Coturnix japonica: one gene and its partner. The protein of the gene in region 1 purifies or fractionates together with the protein of each later gene. This does not show direct contact. Links are inferred from orthologs where the notes say so. Each region holds a gene or a part of one and is shown on either strand. Other genes may lie near its edges.

Region 1 (6,193 bases):
GGTTCTCCCAAGTGCTGTGTTGTACATCACTCGTCCCTTTGGGTGACTGATTTCCTTCCTCAGCACTCGAGACAGTTTTGAAGCTCACTGCTGATAATGCTCCTTGCCATCGCAGTCAGCCCATCGCAGCTTTCACTCACACCTCCTTCAACATGTGGACAGTTGTTTCCTGCTGTCCAACTAAAAACCGGCTGCTGTTGGACTCGACTGCAAAGTGGATTTCCACATGAATGAAAACTTCAGCGTTGCTCCCGGCCGTGCCAAACGCCGCCCAGACCAGAGATCTGCCCCCAACACTCCGGTGCTTCACCCACAAGGTACCGCCGCAGAGCAGAGGCGGTGAGCGGAACGAGCTCTCCCCCTGCAGGGACAGCGCAGCACAGCAGCTGCGGGGCGGTGCAGGAGTTGCTCACCGCACAGCATTACCAGCAGCTTCTGACCGTAGCACAATTGGACTCAAAAGATTAATAACAGCCATCTTTATTCCACACAAGACAGAAGTACAGAACACCTGTCATCCTCCTGGTTGCATTCTACCTGACACACAAGACACAATGACCTACTTAGCAAACTATGGACCAGCCAAGGAAAAGAGTGATGGCACTGCTAAAGATTAAGCGTTCCTTCTAAACAAACAAACTGAAAGGCTTAAAATGTGACTTACACCCTTGACGTTTAGCTTTGTCTTCAGGTGTCCTTACTTTGCAACAAAGACAATAAAAAAAAAAAACCTGCTTTAGAACAGCAAGGAGGAATAAGCAGAAAAGATCACGGTACAAAGCAGCCGTGGCTCAGTATGGCCTCATGCGGCTGGAAGGCGGCGGGGCGCGGTTGGGTGGTGTAATGGCGATATCCAGGTAGTCTCCTATCTGGAATTTCTGGGACTGCAACGTCATCGAATCGTCTGTGCCCTTCCTGCCCGACATGGTGCTGCCGATCTCCTTCACCCTGTGCACAGAGATGAAAAGCAGTCAGTTACCAGAGCCCAGGCTTTGCATGTCCAACCCAGGAGCAGCACCAGTCTTTCCAACCTCGCCATGCCACGCTCCATCCACAGGGTGTTCTGCTGCACCAAGTAAAGCTACATAGAGTCCTTCTAACAGGGCATAGGGGTGGGGACTCTTCAGCCATCTTAGCACGAGACAGAACCCTCTGCCTGCTCACACAGAGCTGGAGCCCCACAGGCTGCAAGGCAGCCTCACACCACCAGGAATGAAGCTCCACCTCACACCGTAGGGCCACCTTTAGCTGGTGGCCAATCCAGCGATCCAAGTGCTTAAACAAACACCTTCATTGTTTAGGGAACACAAACTACAGCAGTTACCAATCAAAACACGAAGTTCATAATGGCAATCCTGCAGTCTGTTATCATGAAATATTATCTGTGAACATTTGGCTTTAAAATCAGCATTGATAAAAAGTATTTTACTGCTGTGCTTCCTCGAGCTTCCTGTTGGTCTGGAGATGAAACGCCCTTTACCTGTAGCCCGGTCGCTTGAGATCTGTAAAAACGATTGCAAAATTGAAGTGTGTGCCCTTCTTCCGTGCTTCTGGGTACACCTCCTTCACCAGACTGGTCAGCTCCTTCAGAGTCGCGTCCATCCTACATTAAACAAACAAACCCAAGTGGTTCACTTCTCAAAGCAGCAATACAAAAAGCTTTCCATGCTCATTTAAGATGGAATTGGTGTTTTGCAACAGCTTAAACAAACATTTCCTTGCCTTTGCGTGCTTCCTGTTAATACACAAAGAAGAGCAACACTTCACATACTTCAGCTATACAGGGAGCTGCTTATTTCACAACTATGTGGCATTCCAAACAACCAATACTGATCAGCATTGCTCTTCCAGGCCTCTCAAAAAAGAGTGACCTTTTTATAATGCATTAATGCATTTACACAAAATGTTTCCTTATTTAAGTCGGTATTAATGTTAAAATGGTTTCTTAGATAAAGTGTAGGAACAAAAGCAAAACAATCAATCACGAGCAATGTCCCCAGGACAAGGGGAAATGGCCTCAAGTTGTGCCAGGGCAAGTTTAGGTTGGATATTAGGAAGAACTTCTTCCCAGAAAGGGTAGTTAGGCACTGGAATAGGCTGCCCAGGGTGGTTGAATCGCCATCCCTGGTTGTGTTTAAGAGCCAGTTGGATGTGGTGCTCAGGGATATGATTTAGTGGAGGGTTTTTAGAGTTAGGGTACTGGTTAGGCTGCGGTTGGACTTGATGATCTTCAAGGTCTTTTCCAACCTGGGTAATTCTATGATTCTATGTCCCATCAGTACTTCCACTTCTGCTCTGACAGACAGCACTCCTCCTTCTCCCCACCCTTCAACCAAACAAAGCCAAAACCAACTTCAGAGCTCTACAGACACAAGGACCGCAGCCACCCAAGCAGCTCAGGGAACCGCACTTCTTCTCTTGTGTAATCAGTGATAGAACTAGAGGGAATGTTTTTAAGCTGCGCCAGGGGAGATTCAGGCTGGACATTAGGAAGTATTACTTCTCGGAAAGGGTAGTCAGGCATTGGAATGCACTGCCCAGGGAGGCGGTGGAGTCACCGACCATGGGAGTGTTCAAGAAACGTTTGGATGTTGTGTTGATGAATATGATTTAGCTGGGAAGTATTGGTGACGATTGGGACTGGATGATCTTGTAGGTCTTTTCCAACCTTGATAATTCTGTGAACTGTGAACACACTGCACCCAGTGTGAGCTCTGTGCCACCGCTGGCTGACAATGGCTGCTCTGAGTGCTCTATGGATGGCTCAGACATCATGAACAGCCTGCACTGAGTTCATAAACCCCCTGCAGAACTACGTGAGAACTGCCTGCTCTGTCAGCGACAACAGTGGGTTTATTCAGCCATAGAGCAATGCACGTGTTACAGCTCCAGCAGAAACTCTGAAGACAGTGTATATAAAGTCACACAATCCACCTTCAAAAGTGCCCTTTAAAATGCAATGAGAGGGATTACTGCATTCACACTGACAGCAGCCCCGCAGGAGCCACCCGCCCGCTCACCATGTGTAGATCTGCAGCTCGCTGGAGGGCACGTTGCCGCGGGAGAACTCGTCCATGCGGTGGTGCCGCCCGTTGTTGGTGGTGAAGACGCGGAGCAGCAGCGGACACGTCTGGGGACGGCACGAAGCGGCGTGAGGCAGCGCACGGACAGCCCGCAACGAGGCCTAGCGGCAACAACCGCACAGACAACCCCGACCCCGGTGGCGCAGTGGTAGGAACGCCGCCGTGCAACACCGGAGGCCATGGGTTCGAATCCCCCCTGTGGCACAAGTGGTAGAAGTGCCGCTCTGCAGCACAGAGACTCGAATCCCAGGGGTTGGACTCGATGATCTCTAAGGTCCCTTCCAACCCGCACCAGACTATGAGACTATGAGACACGCCCCCCCACCCCTCCCGGCGGCCCCAACAACAGCTGCGGCGGGACGAGCCCCGCGTGCAGCCCGGCCCGGCCCAGCACCTTCTCGCGGTCGATCGGTTTCTCCGGCTCTTTCTTGATCTCCTCCTGCGTGACGCGCGACTCCACCGCCATGTTGTCCCGCAGTGCACTACCCGGATGTCTCGCGGCGCGCTCACGGTTCTCGCGATAGTGGAGCGAAGGCGGCGGTGCGCGCATGCGTGCTGGGCGCGGCTGGCGACTGAGAGCGCGGGAGCGCTGTGAGGGTGTGAGGGGGTTGAAGTGGGATGAAGCGCGCTGTGAGGGGGCTGTGACGGGGCTGTGAGGAGGCTGTGGCTGCGGCCGGTCGGTGCCCGCTGAGGGAGATGGGGCCGGAGCGGCGTCGTGCTGCCGGCCCGGAGCAACGCCGCGCTCTGTGGGGGCTGTTCGGTTGTCCAGGTACAAAAAAGACATGGAGATTTTGGAAAGGGTCCAGAGGAGGGCCACAAAGATGATCAGGGGGCTGGAGCACCTCCCCTATGAGGACAGGCTGAGGGAGTTGGGTTTGTTCAGCCTGGAGAAGAGAAGGTTGCGGGGTGACAGCTCATTGCAGCCTTTCAATACCTGAAGGGAACCTACACCCAGGAGGGGAGTAAACTCTTCGAAAGGGCTGATAATAGCAGGACACGGGGAAATGGTTTTAAGTTAAAAGAGGGAAGATTTAGGTTGGATGTTAGGGGGAAGTTCTTCACTAGGAGAGTGGTTAGGCCCTGGAAAAGGCTGCCCAGGGAGGTTGTGGATGCCCCGTCCTTGGAGATGTTCAAGACCAGGTTGGACGGGGCCCTGGGCAACCTGAATCTAGTAAAGGTGTATGTTTGGTGGCCCTGCCAGGCAGGGGGGTTGGAACTACATGATCCTTGAGGTCCCTTCCAACCCGGGTCATTCTGTGTGCCTGTGAGGAAGACATAGGCAGCTGCCTAATGTGAATAAGTGAAATAATCAGCTGGTGCAGCTACTGGTGGATTCAAATAAATTGGAATTTCACTTCCCTTAATATTACGTGTTGGAAAGATCAAGCACATGTGCTTTTCATTTCTGAGCTTGGCTTTTCCAAGAATAAAGTCTTGTATTAGGTTAAATTTAAGTCTGATGTTTTGTCTTAGACTGTGAAGGTGTGAGAGATCTGTGTTCCTGATGTGATAGCTTAAAGAAGTGAGTTATTGTAACAACGGCAGGATGTTCATTTGTCTTCAGAGAATTTACATTTAAATTATTTCATAGAATCATAGAATTACCCACGTTGGAAAAGACCTTGAAGATCATCAAGTCCAAGTGATATATCCAGTTCAGTTTAGAAGGCCTGCAAGCACAGGCTCCAAAACCTGTGGACAGCCTATGCTGCTGATCAACCACCCTCCCTGTATAAATATATGTATATATATTTATCATTCTGTTATCTCAGTCTGTGTTCAGTTCTGCTGCACCCCCTCCTATCAGCAGTCACCGCTGGGAAGTCTGGCTGTGCCTTCACTCCTCTCAGCAGATACTTACACGCAGTGTTGAGGTCTGCGGGTTGTCGTTCTCAGGGCTGAGCTGTTCCAGCTCTCAGACTGACCCCATGTGACAGCGTTTCCAAACACTGTAGATAGGTGACTTCAGTGGAATACTTATTAAAAGAATTTGTAGGAAAGGAAAAGAAGAAGTATTTCTTGTATTCATCATAAAATAAATAAATAAATAAATCTTGCAGTTCACCTCTAATCCAACCAACGGCAATTGATTTATGGCACTCCTAATACAGGGCAAGAGAACCAACAGCCTCTTGAAGTTCACCCTCAGCTTTCATGAACTTTCTCCTGTGGTAGCCTGGACAGCGCCGTGCGGTTTTTGATCTGCATTATGTTATAACATGTCATCATTTTATTATCAAAGGGAATGACTCAGCCTTGCCATCATTTGTACGATTTGATTTCCCAGGCAACGATGCAGTTTATTACAGTGTTTAAAATTAATTATATCTGCCCTCTTAATATATACTTGGGGCTCAATATGTGAACCACCATTTTCGAAACAAAGGGATTTATGTCTCGGATCAGGTATCATAAAAGAACAGCTGTAACAAATAAAGCACAGTTCTGTTATGAATCTAAGTAGTTCCTTCTGTTAGAAGTTTTTGAATGCTTGATTTATGTGAAAAATGACCTAATGTGCTTGCATTTAAGAAAATTCTAGCATGACAGTTATTTGTGGGCTGTATTAACAATCACCTTTTATTTGTCTAAAATTTCAGGCTCTTAAGCACATGGAAGAGAAAGTTGGGAATTATCTGCAAATGGAAATGCGATGATGTGCTCTGTAGGCTGGCATGCAGAATGCAGGCTGTGCTGGAGGCAGCACAGTGCTGAGTGAAGGGCTCCCACCAGGTAAGGCCGAGGTCCCACACGTTACCTGGCTTAGTCTGGCAGCTCCCTGCTGCCTGTCCTTACCCTCAGTCATGGGATTTCTCCTCCTTTCTGCCAGGCGTGTCCCTTATTGGGTGCTCCCAAGAACAAGTGGAATTCCCTAATTTGGGAGAAAGCTATTCAGCTGGGAGCTGGTTTCATGTCACCGTATTGGAAGTCTGCCCTGGTACACACTGAAAGAAATTGAAAGCTTTTAGCTGGGATTGGGAACTGGAGTGAGACGCTGTATATGAGTGAGTCTCTGGCCTTTGTTGCTGGGAAGAGATAGCCAAATTACGAATCAAACATCTTCAGATATGAATGTCTTGAGAACTGAAACAGGTGATTTCAGAAGTGTG
Region 2 (6,211 bases), on another chromosome or scaffold:
TCCAGTGAGCCCTCTCCAATCCAAACCTTTATAACCAGCAAAACCAAAAAAGAGGAGGCAAAAAGTTAGATACCGCAATGAAAAAATAGGATTCTGGGGAATGATCAGTTATGTTTGCCATCAATTAATACAGATGTACAGTAATAACTATCAATTCCCCAAAACAAGCTTCTGAATGGTGATGCTATATCTTTTGTTCTCTTTAAGAAACGTTAATTATTTGGAGGAAACACTGCAATATTTACATATGTCAACTAAAAATGCCAACATACTCATTGCTCGTACGGTGGTGCTCTACAGCTTCTGTGGTTGCAAAAAATGTTTATGAAATTGGAAAAGTTTTACTGCTAAAGCTGTCACCTACTGCGCCTCTCAGCTACGGCCAGCACCCCCGGCTGGAAGGTAACAGAGGAACTAACTGCAGCTCTCAATACGGTGAGTCAGCTCTGAATTAGGCTGGGGAAGGGCTGACAAACGATTCCCAACCAGGTTCTCTTAGGATTTGGGTTTTTGGCTTTTTTCCCTTTCATTCTGATACTTAAAAGAAATGAAATAGCAACGCTGTATCAGTCACACAGAGGACATGCAGATTTTAGCAGTATTGATATTATACTCCCATTTAAAGATACCCTTGATCCGCAAGCGTGGAAGTACTGCGGGCCGTTAACGCTTGGAACCAAATGCCGCGGGACAAACCAATGCTCCCACCCCTGTCCCGGTTTACTCCTTTAAAAAAAGACTAGAATGGAATAAGGAATTACACCGGCAAGTACTGAGCCACAATTGCCAAGAGGGTTTTAAAGAACAGAGCAATTGCAGCCCGCAGTGACCAAGAGGTGCCTGAAGAAGTGACACGCAGGCGCACGTTCTCAATTCACCTGTCTCAGTATAAGGTCAATACTGCCAAGTTCATCTGTGACAATAGCACTTGGAGTCATACCATTGCCTCCATTATTGATCTGATCCTCCTCAATCCTCCTTTTGACAATCCTAAAATGATTGACATGTGCTCCACAATCCTTTAATCCAAAGCATTCTTAATCCATCTCTTCAGATATGTCTACAGAAAGACACACGAAAAGGCAAGATAAAATATAAGATCCCCCAGAAGAGACAAGTTAGCCACAAACATCCCAACATCCCCAGCTCGCATGAACCATAGCTGAACACTGAGACATTTACACAGCAATACCACAGTTTGAAGAGTGTTGGTATTTAACTAGAACTAAATTGAAACAATCCTGACTGACATCAATTAAAATACAGTTTACCAAAGACATGAGGGGGAATGTTGTTGTTACGGAGCAAATACTCACTAGGGATTTTACACAAGAATGCAATTCAACACTTCAGCCAATCTGAATAAAACAGCTTGAATTTAAAAAAAAATAATATTGAAAGACTGTACTGAGTAAAGGAAAACTGTGTACAACATGGGGTTCTACAAAAAGATCAGAGCTAGTGATCGCTTATGTACGAGATCGGGATCTGCTGTGGCGGGGAGAGTAGCGTGGAGATCCTCTGCTTCTTCTTGGGGAATAACTGCGGCTTCTGCTGTTGCTTCGACTACGGCTTCTGCTACGACTACGGCTGCGTGACCGAGATCTTCCATAGCTTGGACTTCTTGGACCATCAACTTTAACACGGATGTAGGCAGTTTCTCCCTATTGAATAGACACAACTTTCGATTGAAAGGTCTAGGCTTCGGGGCCATCGTTTTAGGCATGCTGACAGACTGCAGATATCTTTACTAAGGCACAGAAATAGACATCAAACTCTTAATAAAGTCTATTTCGTGACAAACTGACAGCAGACTCAGTTTAGCTGCTTCGTGTATTAACGCAATGATCACCACACATTCCTTACCTTCACATCCTACTGTTAAGCCCTTTGTATCCAATTCTGGCCAAAAACAAGTAAGCGTGAAACCTACCTCATGAGATCTAAACTTAGTGTTATCCAGTTTTCGCACAGCGTAGGTCATATCTTCCTTCCGTACAAACTCCACGACACCAGTTCCATCTCGGAAAACATCAGCATAACATACATCACCTGCTTCACGCATGTGATCCTTTAAATCCTGCCAACTTCCACTTGGAGGCAGTCCTGGATAAAAAGCAACACCTGGCTTTAAAACCCAATGGTGCGATCATATCATAGTATCACAGTCTCGTGCGGGTTGGAAGGGACCTTAGACATCATCGAGTCCAACCCCCCGCGATTTGAGCCTTCTGTGTAGCAGAGCGGCACTTCTGCCACTTGCGCCACAGGGGATTCGAACCCAAGGCCTCCGGTGTTGCAATTCCAGCATCATCCCGCAGCACACGAGCAGAACACCCTGCACACAGCCCACAGCATCCAGCACCCCTCCCCCATCCCGAGGCTTCGCAGGGAAAAGCGGAGCCGCGTCGCCCCCCGCGCACGGCAGCACGAAGGACCCGGGGGAAGAGAGCAGCGACTCACCCGAGACGATCACTCTGTACTCCGATCGCCGGGACGGGGGGCCGTATCTGCCCCGCGGGGCTCCGCCCCCTCCGCCGCCGCCGCCTCCTCTGCCGGTCCCCCGGCCGCTGCGAGGGAACTCCACGCGGAGGCGATACCCATCGTAATCGTAACCGTCCCGCCCGTACACGGCGTCCTCGGCGTCCCTGCGGGTCGGGACGGGCGGTGAGCGCGGCCGCGCCCTGCCACGCGCCGCCCCCCGCAGCGCCTTTGTTCCCAATACCCGCGGCCCCACCCCGCCCCCACCACCACCATCAGCACCACAACCACCATCACCGCCATCACCGCCACCCCCAGCGGCGGCACCGCGCCGGGCCCGGAGCGCAACGAGCCGAGCGTGTGTGTGTGTGTGTGTGTGTGTGTGTGTGTGTGGAATAGCGCGCAGCGGGAGCGGCGCCGCGCGTGGAGGAAGGGAGGGAATGGAGGGGGGGGGTATCGGCGCCCGGCGGAGCCGTTCCCGCCCGTGCCCCAGGGCCCCGCGGCGCTCACCTCGGGTCCTCGAACTCCACGAAGGCGAAGGGCGGCCCCCCGCGGCGGTTCTTCAGGTCGATGTCGCGGATGGCGCCGTATTTGTAGAACACGTCCTCGATGTCCTTGGTGCGGATGTCGGGGGGCAGGTTGCCCACGTAGATGCGGCAGTCGTTATTGCCGGCCGGGCCGCGGATCACGCCCCCTCCGGACATGCCGAGGTCGGCAATGGCTGCGGCGTTCAGGGGCCGGGGCGCGGAGCGCGGGCGGGCGGGCGGGCGCGGGGCCGGGCCGTGCGGACGGGAGCGGACACGGCGACTCCAGCAACCGCCGCTTCAAAATGGCGACCGCGGCTCCCCTCGCGCTCGCAGCGCGCACTGATCTCGCGCACTGATCTCTCTCACCCCGCGCCGCAGCACCGCCGGGCCGCGAGACCGCAATGCGTTCCGAGTATCCCGCCGCGCTCTCGCCCTCGCGCATGCGCGGCAGCGCGGAAAAGTAGTTCCTCTCTTTTGCCTTTCGCCTCCGCTGCTCCGCCAAAGCGGCTGTGGCCGCACAAGAGGCTCCGCTCCTGCCAGCGAGGTCGGGATGAACGTGAATATCCGCCTCCGATCCCCGCTGTCCGCACCGGGACCGCCGCGCTTCTTTCCGCTGCCGTCTCAGGGCGCCGGGCCGTGTGACGTCACTTCCGGTGCGGCGCTCGCGCCAAGAAGTCCCGGCCGGCGCTGGGGGTGTCCCACAATGCACCGCGCCGCTCGGGGCTCTTGGCGCCAAGGCGCGGGGCGTGGCCCGGCCCACAATGCACCGCGGGCGGGTCGGGCCGTGCGCAGCGCTGGGCGGGCGGGCTCGGTACTGAGCGTCCATTCCCGGCCGGTCCGAACCGATCCGTGTCCGCACGAAGCGCTGCGGGCGGATCCGCCCTGCGGCTGCACGGGGTGCACGGGGAGCGGGCCGTGTGGGTCCGTCAGCCGCTCAGCGGACACTGTGTGGGACGGTTGGGACGGGCTCGGTGCGGAGGCAAAATGGCCGCCCCGAGGGCACGGAGCGGGCACCGCGTCACCGCCCGCCTCAGGGGAACGCGGCGGGGCGGGCAGCGGGACGGCAACGGGATACGAATAAAGGGCAGGAACACGGCAGGGTGTGATGGGGACTGAGTCATGAATGGAACAGCAGTGCAAACACCGGGCGGGTGGGAAACGAGCGGAACTGGGGGCGATGGCGGGCGCTGTGTACGGGTGTGAGCAGAGCCGGCCTAAGGGCACAGCCTAACTATGGGCAGAACCTTCCTATGAGCACAGCCGAACTATGGGGGCACGAGAATAACGCCGTGCTGAGTTTGTTTTCTTGATGAGGTTGTAATTGATGTGAAGGCACAGTAACACACCGGGATGTTACCCTTGTTACTCACACGTCTCTGACATTTCTTCAGGCAGCAGATGTAATTTTGAACGTATAAATTGCTTTTAAGTAATGAGGGTGCAATTAGATGAGCCAGGCTTTGGTTTAACAACAAGAATTCTTTTGGCCTGTAGCTGCTCTGTGGTGACACAGAAACTCCAACATCCACTTTTCTTTCTTTAATACAGCATAAAGTCTTTGCCTGACCCATGAGGGCAGAGCAGTCCCTGCTCTGTTGGCTCACACTTGGCTGCCTGGACGTTGTGCTTTGCTTTGCAGATGTGGCAATGCATTGAGGGCTGGAAGTGGCACTGGGGCACACAGTGGTTGCCTGCCTGCATCCAGCACCGCTGAGCCTGCCTGGTGCTGGAGGGCTGAATCTCAGCACCACAGGGATGGGGAAACAGCAGCTGAGCATGGAGAAAAGCCATTATGCTCCTGAGTTGATGAGGGGAGTTTGAGGAATGTGTCCGAGCATTTAGCAGTGGCTGTTGTGCTCACTTTGTTTTCATTTGTTAATTCAAAGCGTGTATTCCTCCCACAGACAGTGACTTACAGTTAGAAAACATCCCATAGTGAAAACATTTTCATGACAAAGTTATAGTGTGCTTGGTTATTATCAATGCCTTTTATTTTTGTCCCTGTGGGTTAAAGTGCAGTAACGTCCTCTGCTCTAATGGTTTCTGACATTAGTGATGCCTGTGCTGCATTGCTGGTGCTTTAAAGACTGCTGTCAACCACAGGAGGATGTGATGAGCAAAGCCCACCAGCAGAAGCGGTGCTTTACCCACATACAGCTCATGGTTCTGGGGGATTTCCTGCATCTTTATGGAGCTTTAATGCTTTCCAGTGTGAACTGGTTGCAAAGACCCCAAACAAACTCTCCCCATGTCTGGAGAAAGCTGCAGCCTAAGCCTGGGAATGGGGTTTAATAAATGCTGGATGTTATTCTTAAAGGCGTCATAAGATAATGGTGAATCTGCCTGGTTTGCTAAAACCCTGCTGCACAATTTCTTTTGTGTGTTAATAGTCCTTATAACTACTTTAAATGATTGCCTTAATTGCTTTAATGAAGTGTCTCTTTATAGAATTATTGGATGTTTTCTTTCTCATTCCCTTGTTGAGCTCTGTGTTATCAGTGGAGCACTTAAAGCATGTGGATAAGCTGCAGAATGTTGGGTTGCATTTCCAGAGCTGCTTTTGGCTTTCTGGGAAAAAAGAAAAGATGTGTATGTGGAGAATCATTAAACATTAATTATGTGGGAAATAAACTACGAGGTAAGAAATGGCCAATAGCAAAACAAAGCCAAACAACACCAAAAACGTCAACCAGCTGTTGTAAAATGACGGGTTTTTGTTCTCAGAATGGAAGTGAAGACAGTGAAGACCCTGCAGGGCTCTGCACTGAGCTCATCATTCACTTCTACTGATGACGAAACAGAAGCGTTGCAGAGTGGTGGCTTTCCCAGGGCTGGGGTGGGAGAACCTGCTCCTAAAGCGCTGCAGAATTGGGCAGGGATTAATCCTGACTAATCACACTGTGCTGCAAAATAACAGCCCCTAAAGCCCTGATTGTCTGCGAGAAAAGGGCCGTTTTCACACAGCACTGTGAGCTGGAACAGTTACTGTAGAACTGAGCTGTGCAAACTTCCTGATCCATGACATTGGTTCTGGGGAGCTGGGTCTGCTGGCAGGTCAGCAGTGACACACAGACTGTCTCCATGGCTCTACGTGTTGGGCTGGAGGTGTCTCCATGCTGTTTATTTGTGATACCAAACTGCAACTGGTGATTTTTTCAGAGGAACTCAGTGTAACAACAGGGCAATGAAAGCCTGCAAGGTGG

The links. Proteins that work in one complex are often made in the same cells at the same time.
Region 2: the proteins of SAP18 (region 1) and SRSF1 purify together in Homo sapiens (co-immunoprecipitation; 4 studies listed by BioGRID and IntAct, with this or other methods). This does not show direct contact. The link is inferred for Coturnix japonica from reciprocal best matches to the Homo sapiens genes SAP18 and SRSF1.

What each region holds. Positions count from the first base shown.
Region 1 is NC_029516.1:159,782,350-159,788,542, forward strand, and holds SAP18 (histone deacetylase complex subunit SAP18), read right to left. Parts: upstream 3,902-6,193; 5' UTR 3,868-3,901; coding exon 3,478-3,867; intron 3,131-3,477; coding exon 3,021-3,130; intron 1,604-3,020; coding exon 1,481-1,603; intron 949-1,480; coding exon 792-948; 3' UTR 465-791; downstream 1-464. UniProt on the Homo sapiens protein: Component of the SIN3-repressing complex. Enhances the ability of SIN3-HDAC1-mediated transcriptional repression. When tethered to the promoter, it can direct the formation of a repressive complex to core histone proteins.
Region 2 is NC_029534.1:7,445,352-7,451,562, reverse strand, and holds the start of SRSF1 (serine/arginine-rich splicing factor 1), read right to left. Parts: upstream 3,342-6,211; 5' UTR 3,186-3,341; coding exon 2,992-3,185; intron 2,649-2,991; coding exon 2,464-2,648; intron 2,107-2,463; coding exon 1,934-2,106; exon of another isoform or gene 1,665-1,933; coding exon 1,470-1,664; 3' UTR 1-1,469. UniProt on the Homo sapiens protein: Plays a role in preventing exon skipping, ensuring the accuracy of splicing and regulating alternative splicing.